Linked DNA regions of Callithrix jacchus. The protein of the gene in region 3 purifies or fractionates together with the protein of the main gene of each other region. This does not show direct contact. Links are inferred from orthologs where the notes say so. Each region holds a gene or a part of one and is shown on either strand. Other genes may lie near its edges. The genes, in order: HSP90AB1, CDC37 and HCK.

Region 1 (4,248 bases), on a different chromosome or scaffold from region 3:
GAGTCTTGACACTGAAAGGATCCAGCTCGGGAAGCCCATCCCACAGGAGTGATTCCTGCTTTGGATTTAGGTCCTAGGAGTGAGATCACATCCCTGCTCCATTTGTAGAGCAGGAAGGGAGCTAGTGCAGCAAGGGCTCTGAGAAGAGGGACCCTGGGAGTCACTGAAGCCATTTTCCTGTTGATAGAAAGTGCACACTGACTTTCATCTGCTCACAGGACAGTGAGATTTTGTGAATGCTCTGTAAACTGGGGAGCAGATTTTTAATGAGCTAGGCCCCACTGCTTAGAAGGAGAGGGCATGTTAAAGGATCACACTCCCTCGGGTTTGCGGTTTTGGTCAGGAACAGAGCCTCCAACGCTCCTTCCTATAGACTTCTCCCAGCCATTGGCTTTTTGCAGACCATAAAGGAAGGGAGAAAGGACATAAAATCGGGGTAGTGATGGCGGGCACGTTGAGGTGGACAGTGGACGGGGACAATGAAGAGGAAAGCATGGGACTGCCTTTGTTTTTTGGTATTCAAAGCTTGTTAAGGAATGTAGATGGGTAACAGGGCTGGTGAGGGAGGACGATGTGGGTGGTCGTGGGGAAAACCCTTCCCAGGCATCCCAGGGGTGGGCCAGGAAGGGGAGTAGAAGGACGTCTACAAGGCACGGGAGTGGTTATTCTCTCCTGGAGGGGCTGTGGGTCCAGCAGGATTTCGGATGAGACCTTGGAAAGGCAAGGCAGCTTGCCAACTGGAAGGCAGGCAAAAGGGCTGAACCAGGCCAGACATGGCGGTCTGCAGCTCACTGGCCAGGGGCATGGCCTACCCGCTCTGACGCCAAGGCTAAAGGGGAACAACTTGTCCAGCCGCTCTCTGGCCGGCGTCGTCACGAGGCCTCCATGAGCTCTGACTGCCCTGCAGTGGTTCCTGGAGACTCCTCACCTTCCCATGTCCAAATAGCTGCAAGAGGGAAGTGGGCGGAAAAAAAGCAAAACAGCTTGGGAAAAGGCTTGACGTGCCTGCGTAGGGAGGGTGCATGTTCCTGTGCTCCGTGTACGTGGCGGCCGCAGGGAATGGAGGGGGTCCCTCCAGTAGCGACTCTGTTTCCAGTCTCAGTCTGCATAAGTGGACGCCCGCAGAGGCGCCCCAGGTGCCCGGGTGTTGTGTGATTGACTGGGGGAAGGAGGGGTAGGTCGATCCCTTCCTAACGCTCCATCCCATCCCCGAGGATTGGGCTAGTAGGTCGGACGGTCAGAGCCGGAGGCCGGGCAGAGTCGCCGTAAAGACTCTGCTCCCGCCGGGCAGCAGCCGGAGAGGCGGAGCCTCGCGGGGAGGGGGCGGGCGGGGGCCGGACCGCCGAGACAGACCTGGAAACTGCTGGAAAGGCCGCAGTGCCGCCACCGCCGCCGCGTCTTCCGCCGCGTGCCGGCAAAAAGTCCCCACCAGCCCCGGCCGGCGCCCTCTCTCAACGCTGATCTACCCACCGTAGCTAAGCCTCCGCCCTTCCTGTGCGCCTGGGAGAGTCGGATCTGTGGCTGCCCAAGGTTGGGTCCCGAATTCCAATTCTTTCTACCGGGATGCGAAATGTGTGGGGCAGATTCTAGGAAGAAGATTGCGTCTGGGAGCGGCGGTCGGTGTGGTTAGCCACCTCCGCTTTTTTTAGGTGTCCCCCTCCCCCAGCCCCGCCCTTGGGTGTGGGGACGCCTGCCCCACAGGTTTTTAGGGAGGATAGTGGGTCCTCGTTCGTAGAGACACTGCTTTGTCAAATGAGCACTCCTCATCCCCGCTCTTGAGCGGGTCATGTCCTAGACGTGCAGACATGGGGGCTGTGGTCACAAGCAAACGTGTGAGTGGACCCGCTGCTTGGGTTCTTCTCTGCCCCCTCCCTTATTTCGGACCATGACGTCAAGGTGGGCTGGTGGTGGCAGGTGCGGAGTTGACAAGGGTACTCCTTTAAGGCGGAGGGATCCGGGGGAGGGGGGCTGTGCTGTGCTTCGCCTTATATAGGGCGACCTGGGGCGTGAAATAGCTCTCTTGAGTCGCTCCGGCGCTGCTCTTGTCTGTGTGTGTGTGTGTGTGTGTTGGACAGCCAGCCCACCTTGCTTTCTAATACCTGTGAGCCTTTTCTTTTGAAGGTAAGGCCGAAGTCTCTGCCAGGTTTCTTTTCCTTCACTGCTCTTTCGTTTTGCTGTTTTCTTTTTCTGTTTTTAGGAAGCCCAGATGTCGGGGTGGGCTGTGGATAACGCCCTGGATTTTTACAGGGTGAGGGTGGTAGTAGGTGAGGGCTCTTGAGTTTTGCTCCGTTTTCTCTTGTGTGCTTGGGCGGTGGGCTTTTTTCTCGGCGGCTGCTAGCCGTGGCGAGGTGGGCTGAGGGGTTGGGGGAGTGGGCGGAGGGCAGCTGCACGTGGTGGCCGCGCGGCCCAGGACGCTGCCATTCTTGCTTCTCCACTTCCGGAGGCGGCTACAGGGCGCCGGAGGGGGACCGCAGGGTGGCGGGGGTGCTCGCATGGGGTGACTCAGCACGGCCCTGCGGGACTGGCCTCACCATCTCTCTTTACGGCCGCGTCGAAAGCCTTGGGTGCTTTGTTTCTGTGAGGGCTCACGGTGAGGGAGAAGCGTTTTCGGCCTCCAGCTCCCATATTTCCTCCTTCCAGATCTTTCTTGCAGTCCCCGTGGAGGAGGGGTGGGGAGAGGGCAGGGTCTGGAAGATTCTTGGGCTCCCTCCTCCGCCCCTCCTCGAGAGCTGAGATTGTTCTGGAAGCTTCTGGATTCTGGCGCCCCGCCCCGGTGCCCGGATGCTGGGGAGAAGGGAGGGTACATGGTGGCGTCCCCTCCTCGCGTGGCCCCTGCCGATGCATGTTCAACAGTGACGAGAGTCGGCCCGGTGGCTACGGCCACCATCTTTCCTGTGTTGGGTTTGGTCCTGTACTGTAATTCTGTGCTGTAAAGGGGTCGTGGTTGAGCTTTTGGTTTTTCGATTTTTTTGTCTGGATTTAATTGCTCCTCGGGCTGGTGGCCTACGGATCTGATTATTCCTCTTTGCCGTGTGGGGCAGAAGTCCTGCACCTTAGGCTGATTTTAGGAAGACACCTCAGGGGGACCGGTTTAACGTTAGTGCCATTTTAATCTTAAACTACTGGTTACTTTGACCTCCCCCAAATATAAAGAACCGTAGCTAGTGATTTTCACATTTAAATTTGCGCAAGGATTACCAGGGATCCCTAGATACCTGGGTTGGACCAGGATTATGAGTTTCTGCCATACTACCAGGTGACGCTGAGCCTGTTGGCCACCATTCTTTAAGTAACTGGGTTCTGTGACATTTGGTTGAAGAACATTGTAGCTTATTTTCTTTTTCCTTTTGATTTGGCTTCCCACTTAGTGTGTAGCCTGAGAGCTTTAAAGAGAATGCTTTTTTCGTCTCTTGGGAAGGGATAATAGTACTCAGCTTAAACCACCACTCAACTCACGTTTTAAGGTTCCAATGACAGGCAACCATTAGGATTTCTAAATATGGGGCCTTCATATTCTTTTGTAATTAATTACTATTTTTATTTTAGATGCCTGAGGAAGTGCACCATGGAGAGGAGGAGGTGGAGACTTTTGCCTTTCAGGCAGAAATTGCCCAACTCATGTCTCTCATCATCAATACCTTCTATTCCAACAAGGAGATTTTCCTTCGGGAGTTGATTTCTAATGCTTCTGATGTAAGTGCTCTGGTTTTCACATTTCATATATTTTAACATTCTGGAAGAAGGAGAGGGGTAGTTTGGCCTTTGTTGGGGACTACTGTTGAAGAGGTAAACCTGCAACTATTCCAAAAAGATTTGTCTTACTTTGTGGCCATTTTGAAGTTGGAAGGGACTATGTCCAGGATAAGTGGGTTGGTGTAACTATGGTTCTAATGCCTCAACATAAGGGGCAATCAGATTGAGGCTGACAGAAATACACCAAGATTTTCTTTGAAGATAAGGGCTTTAACAAAACAAAAGTGGGCGCAGTGGTTCATGCCTGTAATCCCACTACTTTGGGAGGTGGATCATGACTAGCCTGGAGTTCAAGACCAGCTTGGCCAACATGGTGAAACCCTGTCTTTACTAAAAATAGAACAACAACAAATTAGCTGGGCATGGTGACGAGTACCTGTAATCCCAGCTACTTGGGAGGCTGAGGCAGGAGATTCACTTGAACCCAAACCCAGGAGGCAGAGGTTGCAGTAAGCTGAGATTGCGCCACTGCACTCCAGCCTGGGCAACAAGAGC
Region 2 (3,283 bases), on a different chromosome or scaffold from region 3:
ACCTTCCAAGTAGCTGGGATTACAGGCACCTGCCAGCCTCTAGAGTTTTAACCTGTGCATCTGCAGGAACAGGGCTACTCTTACCAAGATTGGGGAGACCAAGGACAAGGCAGGCTGGAGGGACACTCAGAGGCTGGGAGGTGGCTATGTTAAGTTAGAGGCGCCTATGCAGGGACACTGAGGACGTGAGTGTCACACATCTGCGGTACAGCAGGGCTCCCAAGCAGGTGGTCTTTAGCAAATGCCAGATGAGGTCCCTGGCTGGGGGAGCCCAAGACTTAGGGACCCCCTCATGTAGGTCAGGAACAGACTTGGGATGCCTCTGAAGCGCCTCTGAGGAGCTGCGGCTGGAGGGTCTTGGGCTCCCCAGTCCCTTCTGAGCATTGGGCTGGGTCCAGTGAGCACTGCCCAACCCCCGTAGACAGCGGATCGCCAGTACATGGAGGGCTTCAACGACGAGCTGGAAGCCTTCAAGGAGCGTGTGCGGGGCCGTGCCAAGCTGCGCATTGAGAAGGCCATGAAGGAATACGAGGAGGAGGAGCGCAAGAAGCGACTTGGCCCCGGCGGCCTGGACCCTGTTGAGGTCTACGAGTCCCTCCCGGAGGTGCGGTTCCCCAGGCCAGGCGGGCAGCAGGAGGGCCCTGAGCAAGACCCCCAGGGCCACAGGGACCCAGCCCCTGACCCCAGCTCCTCTGCACCCCCAGGAACTCCAGAAGTGCTTCGATGTGAAGGATGTGCAAATGCTGCAAGACGCCATCAGCAAAATGGACCCCACCGTGAGTAACCCTGGCCCTCCATGCCTTTCCAGCAGGCAATGTGTCTCCCCCAGCCCTGGGTCCCAAGTCTCTGAAGCCGGCTGGTGAAAGTACTCCTCCGAGGCTTCTCCAAGGAGTCAGGGGGGGTCACGTCACCTTGGCATACACCCATATTTATTGAGCACCTACTGTATCCCAACATCCAGCAGATGATTGCTGAGCTTTCAGTGCATGTCCCTCGTGACTGACAGTCACTGTTGCTGTGATGGCGTCCAGCCTCAGTTTCCTTATCCAGACCACGTTTTCTCTCAATATCAGCCCACAAAATGTTTGGGGAGGGGAGCCGAGCACATGGCAGTGACTGGTAAATGCTGGATGTTAATAGGGTTTTGACTGCTTGTTTTTGAGAGACAGGGTCTTCCTCTCTTACCCTGGCTGCAACTTTGACCTCCCAGGCTGAAGTGATCCTCCCACTTCAGCCTCCCCAAGTAGCTGGGATTATAGGCTGACACCATGACATCCGGCTAACTTTTTAAAAACATATGTTTTTATAGAGACAGGGTCTCACTGGCTATAATTTTGGAAGTGGTAATAGAGTTTGAATCTAAGTAGGACACACTTTAACTCTGTTCCTACCACTTGGCTCACTGGTTGGCCACACTGGTTTTCTCATCTGTAAAATGGGTCTAGTTGCAGGACTGGCCCTGAGGTTCTAGAAGCTTCTATGGGCATAGCCACCTAGACCAGGTCCTGCAAACTGCACCTCGAGGACTCACTGCCTATCTTTTATAATAAAGTTTTATTGGAACAAAGCAGCCACGCTCAATTGTTTCCCTATCACCTACAACCGATCTTGCTCTACCGCAGCAGAGTTGAGTCGTGACGGAGACCATATGGCTTGCGGAAACAGAAATACTTAGTCTGTCCCTTTACCAAAAAAATTTGCTGGCTTTTTTTCTAGATTGCACTATCTAAATTTAAATTAAAGTTAAATAAAATTTAAAGTACCAGCTGGGCAGCACTTCGGGAGGCTGAGGCAGACAGATCACCTGAGGTCAGGAGTTCAAGAGCAGCCTGGCCAATGTGGCAAAATCCTATCTCTACTAAAAGTACAAAAATTAGCCAGGCGTTGTGACAGGCGCCTGTAATCCCAGCTACTCTGGGGGCTGGGGCAGGAGAATTGCTTGAACCTGGGAGGCAGAGGTTGCAGTGAGCCGAGATCACACCACTACATTCCACTCTGGGAGACAGAGTGAGACGGTCTCTATATCAATAAATTAGTAAAATAAAATGAGCAGGAAGCCAGCTTGGGAATGTGCAGGGGACAACAGGGTGGCCACCAGGTGGCAGCCCTGCCTCACCTGCCTGCTCTTCTCCTTGCAGGACGCAAAGTACCACATGCAGCGTTGCATTGACTCCGGCCTCTGGGTCCCGAACTCTAAGGCCAGCGAGGCCAAGGAGGGGGAGGAGGCGGGTCCCAGGGACCCGCTGCTGGAAGCTGTTCCCAAGACAGGTGATGAGAAGGATGTCAGCGTGTGACCTGCCCCAGCTGCCACCACCATCTGCTTGCAGGCCCCTATGCGCCCCTTTTCAGCAAACAGATAGATGCCATCTCCCCTGCTCCTGGCCTCCTCCACTTGCGCTGCTCGGCCCAGCCTGGGGGGCCCACCCAACCGTCCCTGCCCTCTCCACTGTCCCCACTCTCCAGTGCCCATTCAAGTCTCTGCTTTGAGTCAAGGGGCCTCACTGCCTGCAGCCCCCCATCAGCATTATGCCAAAGGCCCGGGGGTCCGGGGAGGGGCAGAGGTCGCCAGGCTGGTCCATCAGGTAGTAGGGGAGGGTCCCCAGCCAAGGGGTCGGCTCTGGTCACTGGGCTCTGTTTTCACTGTTTGTCTGCTGTCTGTGTCTTTTATTTGGCAAACAGCAGTGATGTTCCAATAAAGGATTTCAGATGCTCTGGGCTGCTGTGAGGGCTGTTCAGGCAGCCCATCTCTTGTGGGTGGGAGTGAATCCTGGTGGAATATTGGAAGCTGGGTCTTGGTACTCTAGTCCTTTGCCCTCCAGCCGTTGTGGGTCCTTGCCTCACACATGCTGCTCCACCACTTTGAACAGTCTTCCTCCAGAGGCCCTAGAAGCCTACCACCCTCAGTTCTCACCCACCCACTCCCCTGTCCCTACTTTGACCTCCAGAATACAGGGTTGCCCAAGCTGATCACCGCCAGAGGGCAGCAGTGATCTGTAAACCAAGTCACGTTTTCTAGGGTTTTGCGAATTTTGCCTGCCCACGCCCACCTTTGCCCCTGCTGCCCCCTTAGAGCTTCCTACCATCATTTGGGGCAGCATCCTGGGCTATATCTCTCCGCCCTATGGCCAGTGCTGCCCTCCAACATTTTTGTTGTTGAGACAGTCTAGCTGTTGCCCAGGTTGGAGTGCAGTGGTGTGATCTCTGATCACTACAACCTCCGCCTCCCGGGTTCAAGTGATTGTCCTGCCTCAACCTCCTGAGTAGCTAGAATTACAGGTTCCCG
Region 3 (2,456 bases):
CCCAGTAGCTGGGATTACAGTCACCTACCAACATGCCTGGCTAATTTTTGTATTTTTAGTAAAGACTGGGTTTCACCATGTTGACCAGGCTGGTCTCGAACTCCTGACCTCAAATAATCCGCCTGCCTCAGTCTCCCAACGTGCTGGTATTACAGGCATGAGCCACTGTGCCCGGCCCAGTAAGGTTATACATTTGTGTTGCCTTAAGCTACCAAGTGTGTGGTAATTCGTTACAGGAACAAGAGGAAACTAATACCAGCCAGCAACTATTTTAGGGCAGTTAGAAAACTTCACACATTGAACCCCAGTTTTCTCTCCTTTTTCTCTTTCTTTCTTTTTTTTGTTTTTGAAACAGGGTCTCACTCTGTCACTCAGGCTGGAGTGCAGTGGCACGATCAGAGTTCACTGCAGCCTCGACCTCCTGGGCTCAAGCACCCCCCAGCAACTCGGTGTCCCAAAGCACTGGTGTTACAGGTCAGAGCCACAGCACCCAGCCTGAACCCCACTTGCCTTTGTACTTCTGGTCCCTGGGAGAGTCCTTCACACTTTCTGACTTGTCATACAGCAAGAAGGCACATAGATATTTAGGAATTGGAAGGACAGGAAAACCAACCTTTGGGTAAAGATTTTGGCATTTATATCTTTTATTTAAATATTCATTTCACTATTTTGAAAGTTTCCCATCCAAACCACAGCTGTAACTGAAATCCAACCATTCCAGGAAACAGAAATATCAAGTGTGGGGCTTCCTGACAATGTCAGATTATGGATTGCTAGAGTCAAGAAGAGATTTTCCAGTCCAACCTACCCACTGGACAGATGAGGAAACTGTGGCTGAAGCAAGGGTGGGTGTCTGGGAGTAGGAAGGGAGCCTGGGCCCTGGTGGGTGGTGCTGGAGCCACCTTGCAGCCACCACCTGGGTGCCTGGCCCTGCCCTGGTCCTGCCCATCATGGCTGCTGTTGGTACTGGCTCTCTGTGGCCGTGTAGAAGTCATCCAGCACACTCTGGATGTATTCAAAGGTCGGCCGCTCCTCCGGACGGTTCTTCCAGCAGCGCGTCATGATGCTGTAGAGCTCCTCTGGGCAGTGCTCTGGGCGGGGCATCCGGTATCCACGCTCCAGAGCTCGGATCACTTCAGGGTTTGACATCCCTGAAAAGGAGACATGGAAGTAAAAAGGAAGCAGTTTGGAAACGAGATCCCAGAGGTGCCAGGCCCTGTGGCCTCGCCAGCAGCTGTCACTCCCCACCTCACCTTGCAAGCTGAGCCCCTCCCACTGTGAAGCCAGAGACTTCCTCCTCCAGCTTCACTTGCAGCTAGGACATGGGCCCGGGACATGGTTTTGGCCAATGGGAGCTGACAGGGAGGTCTGCTGGGAGAGGCCAGGAAAGGTTTTCCTCCCACTTAGAGGACAGTCTTTAGAGAACACACCCTTCGTCTCTTCCTTTGGACACTGTGAGATACTTATGATACTCGGAGCTGCAACCACCATCTTACCACACGGAGAACATCAACACAGAGACAGGAACCCAGAGTCCCGACTCAGTCCTGCTGAGCCGCTGAACTAACCAGTCACCAGTGCCAGAGGGGGAGTAATAGCTTGCTCTGTTTCAGTTACTCTTAGTCTGTCATTTTGTGGCTTGTAGCAGAACACATCCTTCTGGATTTGGCATCTACAGTGTGTTGTCTGGTTCTGCCTAGTGCCCTCTCAGGACAAAGCAGTCAGGTGGCCAGATTCAGTGTCACCCTGTGGGTGGGACCATTTTCTTGTTCAATTTAAGTTTTTATTATTCATAAGAATAGCTATTCAATGTCCATGATCCCCAATTTTATATTATTAGTTTCAAACTCCAAACTCAGGAGGCCCAGCTGTGTGGATCACTTGAGATCAGGAGTTCAAGACCAGCCTGGCCAACATAGTGAAACCCCCTCTCTACTAAAAATACAAAAACTAGCCACGTGTGATGGTGCACACTTGTAATCCCAGCTGCTCCGGAGGCTGAGGCAGGACAGTCACTTGAACCCAGGAGGTGGAGGTTGCAATGAGCTGAGATCATGCCAGTATACTCCAGCCTGGGCAACAGAGCAAGACTCCATCTCAAATAAATAAATAAATAAAAAGCAAAGCATCAGAAAATAAAGGTGACTGCAATTCTGACCCCTACTGCTGTAAATAAATGAACTCAAGTGCTTCCTTTACTTGTATGTCTCTATACTTAAGTCATCTCAAATTTAAGAGGGTTAAAATGGAGCTCTCCAATTTCTTTCTTTTCTTTTATTTTTTTGAGATGGAATCTTGCTCTGTAGCCCAGGCTGGAGTGCAGTGGTGCAATCTCGGCTCACTGCAACATCCGCCTCCCGGGTCCTGGTTCAAGCAATTCTCCTATCTCAGCCTCCCAAGTAGCTGGAATTACAGGCACGAGCCACCATGCCCAGCTAATTTTTGTGTTTTTTTTA

What was found.
Region 1: the proteins of HCK (region 3) and HSP90AB1 purify together in Homo sapiens (affinity purification with mass spectrometry; 3 studies listed by BioGRID and IntAct, with this or other methods). This does not show direct contact. The link is inferred for Callithrix jacchus from reciprocal best matches to the Homo sapiens genes HCK and HSP90AB1.
Region 2: the proteins of HCK (region 3) and CDC37 purify together in Homo sapiens (affinity purification with mass spectrometry; 3 studies listed by BioGRID and IntAct, with this or other methods). This does not show direct contact. The link is inferred for Callithrix jacchus from reciprocal best matches to the Homo sapiens genes HCK and CDC37.

The regions. Positions count from the first base shown.
Region 1 is NC_133505.1:52,710,525-52,714,772, forward strand, and holds the start of HSP90AB1 (heat shock protein HSP 90-beta), read left to right. Parts: upstream 1-1,394; 5' UTR 1,395-1,530; intron 1,531-2,014; exon of another isoform or gene 2,015-2,121; intron 2,122-2,416; exon of another isoform or gene 2,417-2,590; intron 2,591-3,546; coding exon 3,547-3,693; intron 3,694-4,248. UniProt on the Homo sapiens protein: Molecular chaperone that promotes the maturation, structural maintenance and proper regulation of specific target proteins involved for instance in cell cycle control and signal transduction. Undergoes a functional cycle linked to its ATPase activity.
Region 2 is NC_133523.1:9,582,151-9,585,433, reverse strand, and holds the end of CDC37 (hsp90 co-chaperone Cdc37), read left to right. Parts: intron 1-421; coding exon 422-604; intron 605-704; coding exon 705-776; intron 777-2,138; coding exon 2,139-2,294; 3' UTR 2,295-2,712; downstream 2,713-3,283. UniProt on the Homo sapiens protein: Co-chaperone that binds to numerous kinases and promotes their interaction with the Hsp90 complex, resulting in stabilization and promotion of their activity. Inhibits HSP90AA1 ATPase activity.
Region 3 is NC_133506.1:7,101,782-7,104,237, forward strand, and holds the end of HCK (tyrosine-protein kinase HCK), read right to left. Parts: intron 1,152-2,456; coding exon 949-1,151; 3' UTR 627-948; downstream 1-626. UniProt on the Homo sapiens protein: Non-receptor tyrosine-protein kinase found in hematopoietic cells that transmits signals from cell surface receptors and plays an important role in the regulation of innate immune responses, including neutrophil, monocyte, macrophage and mast cell functions, phagocytosis, cell survival and proliferation, cell adhesion and migration.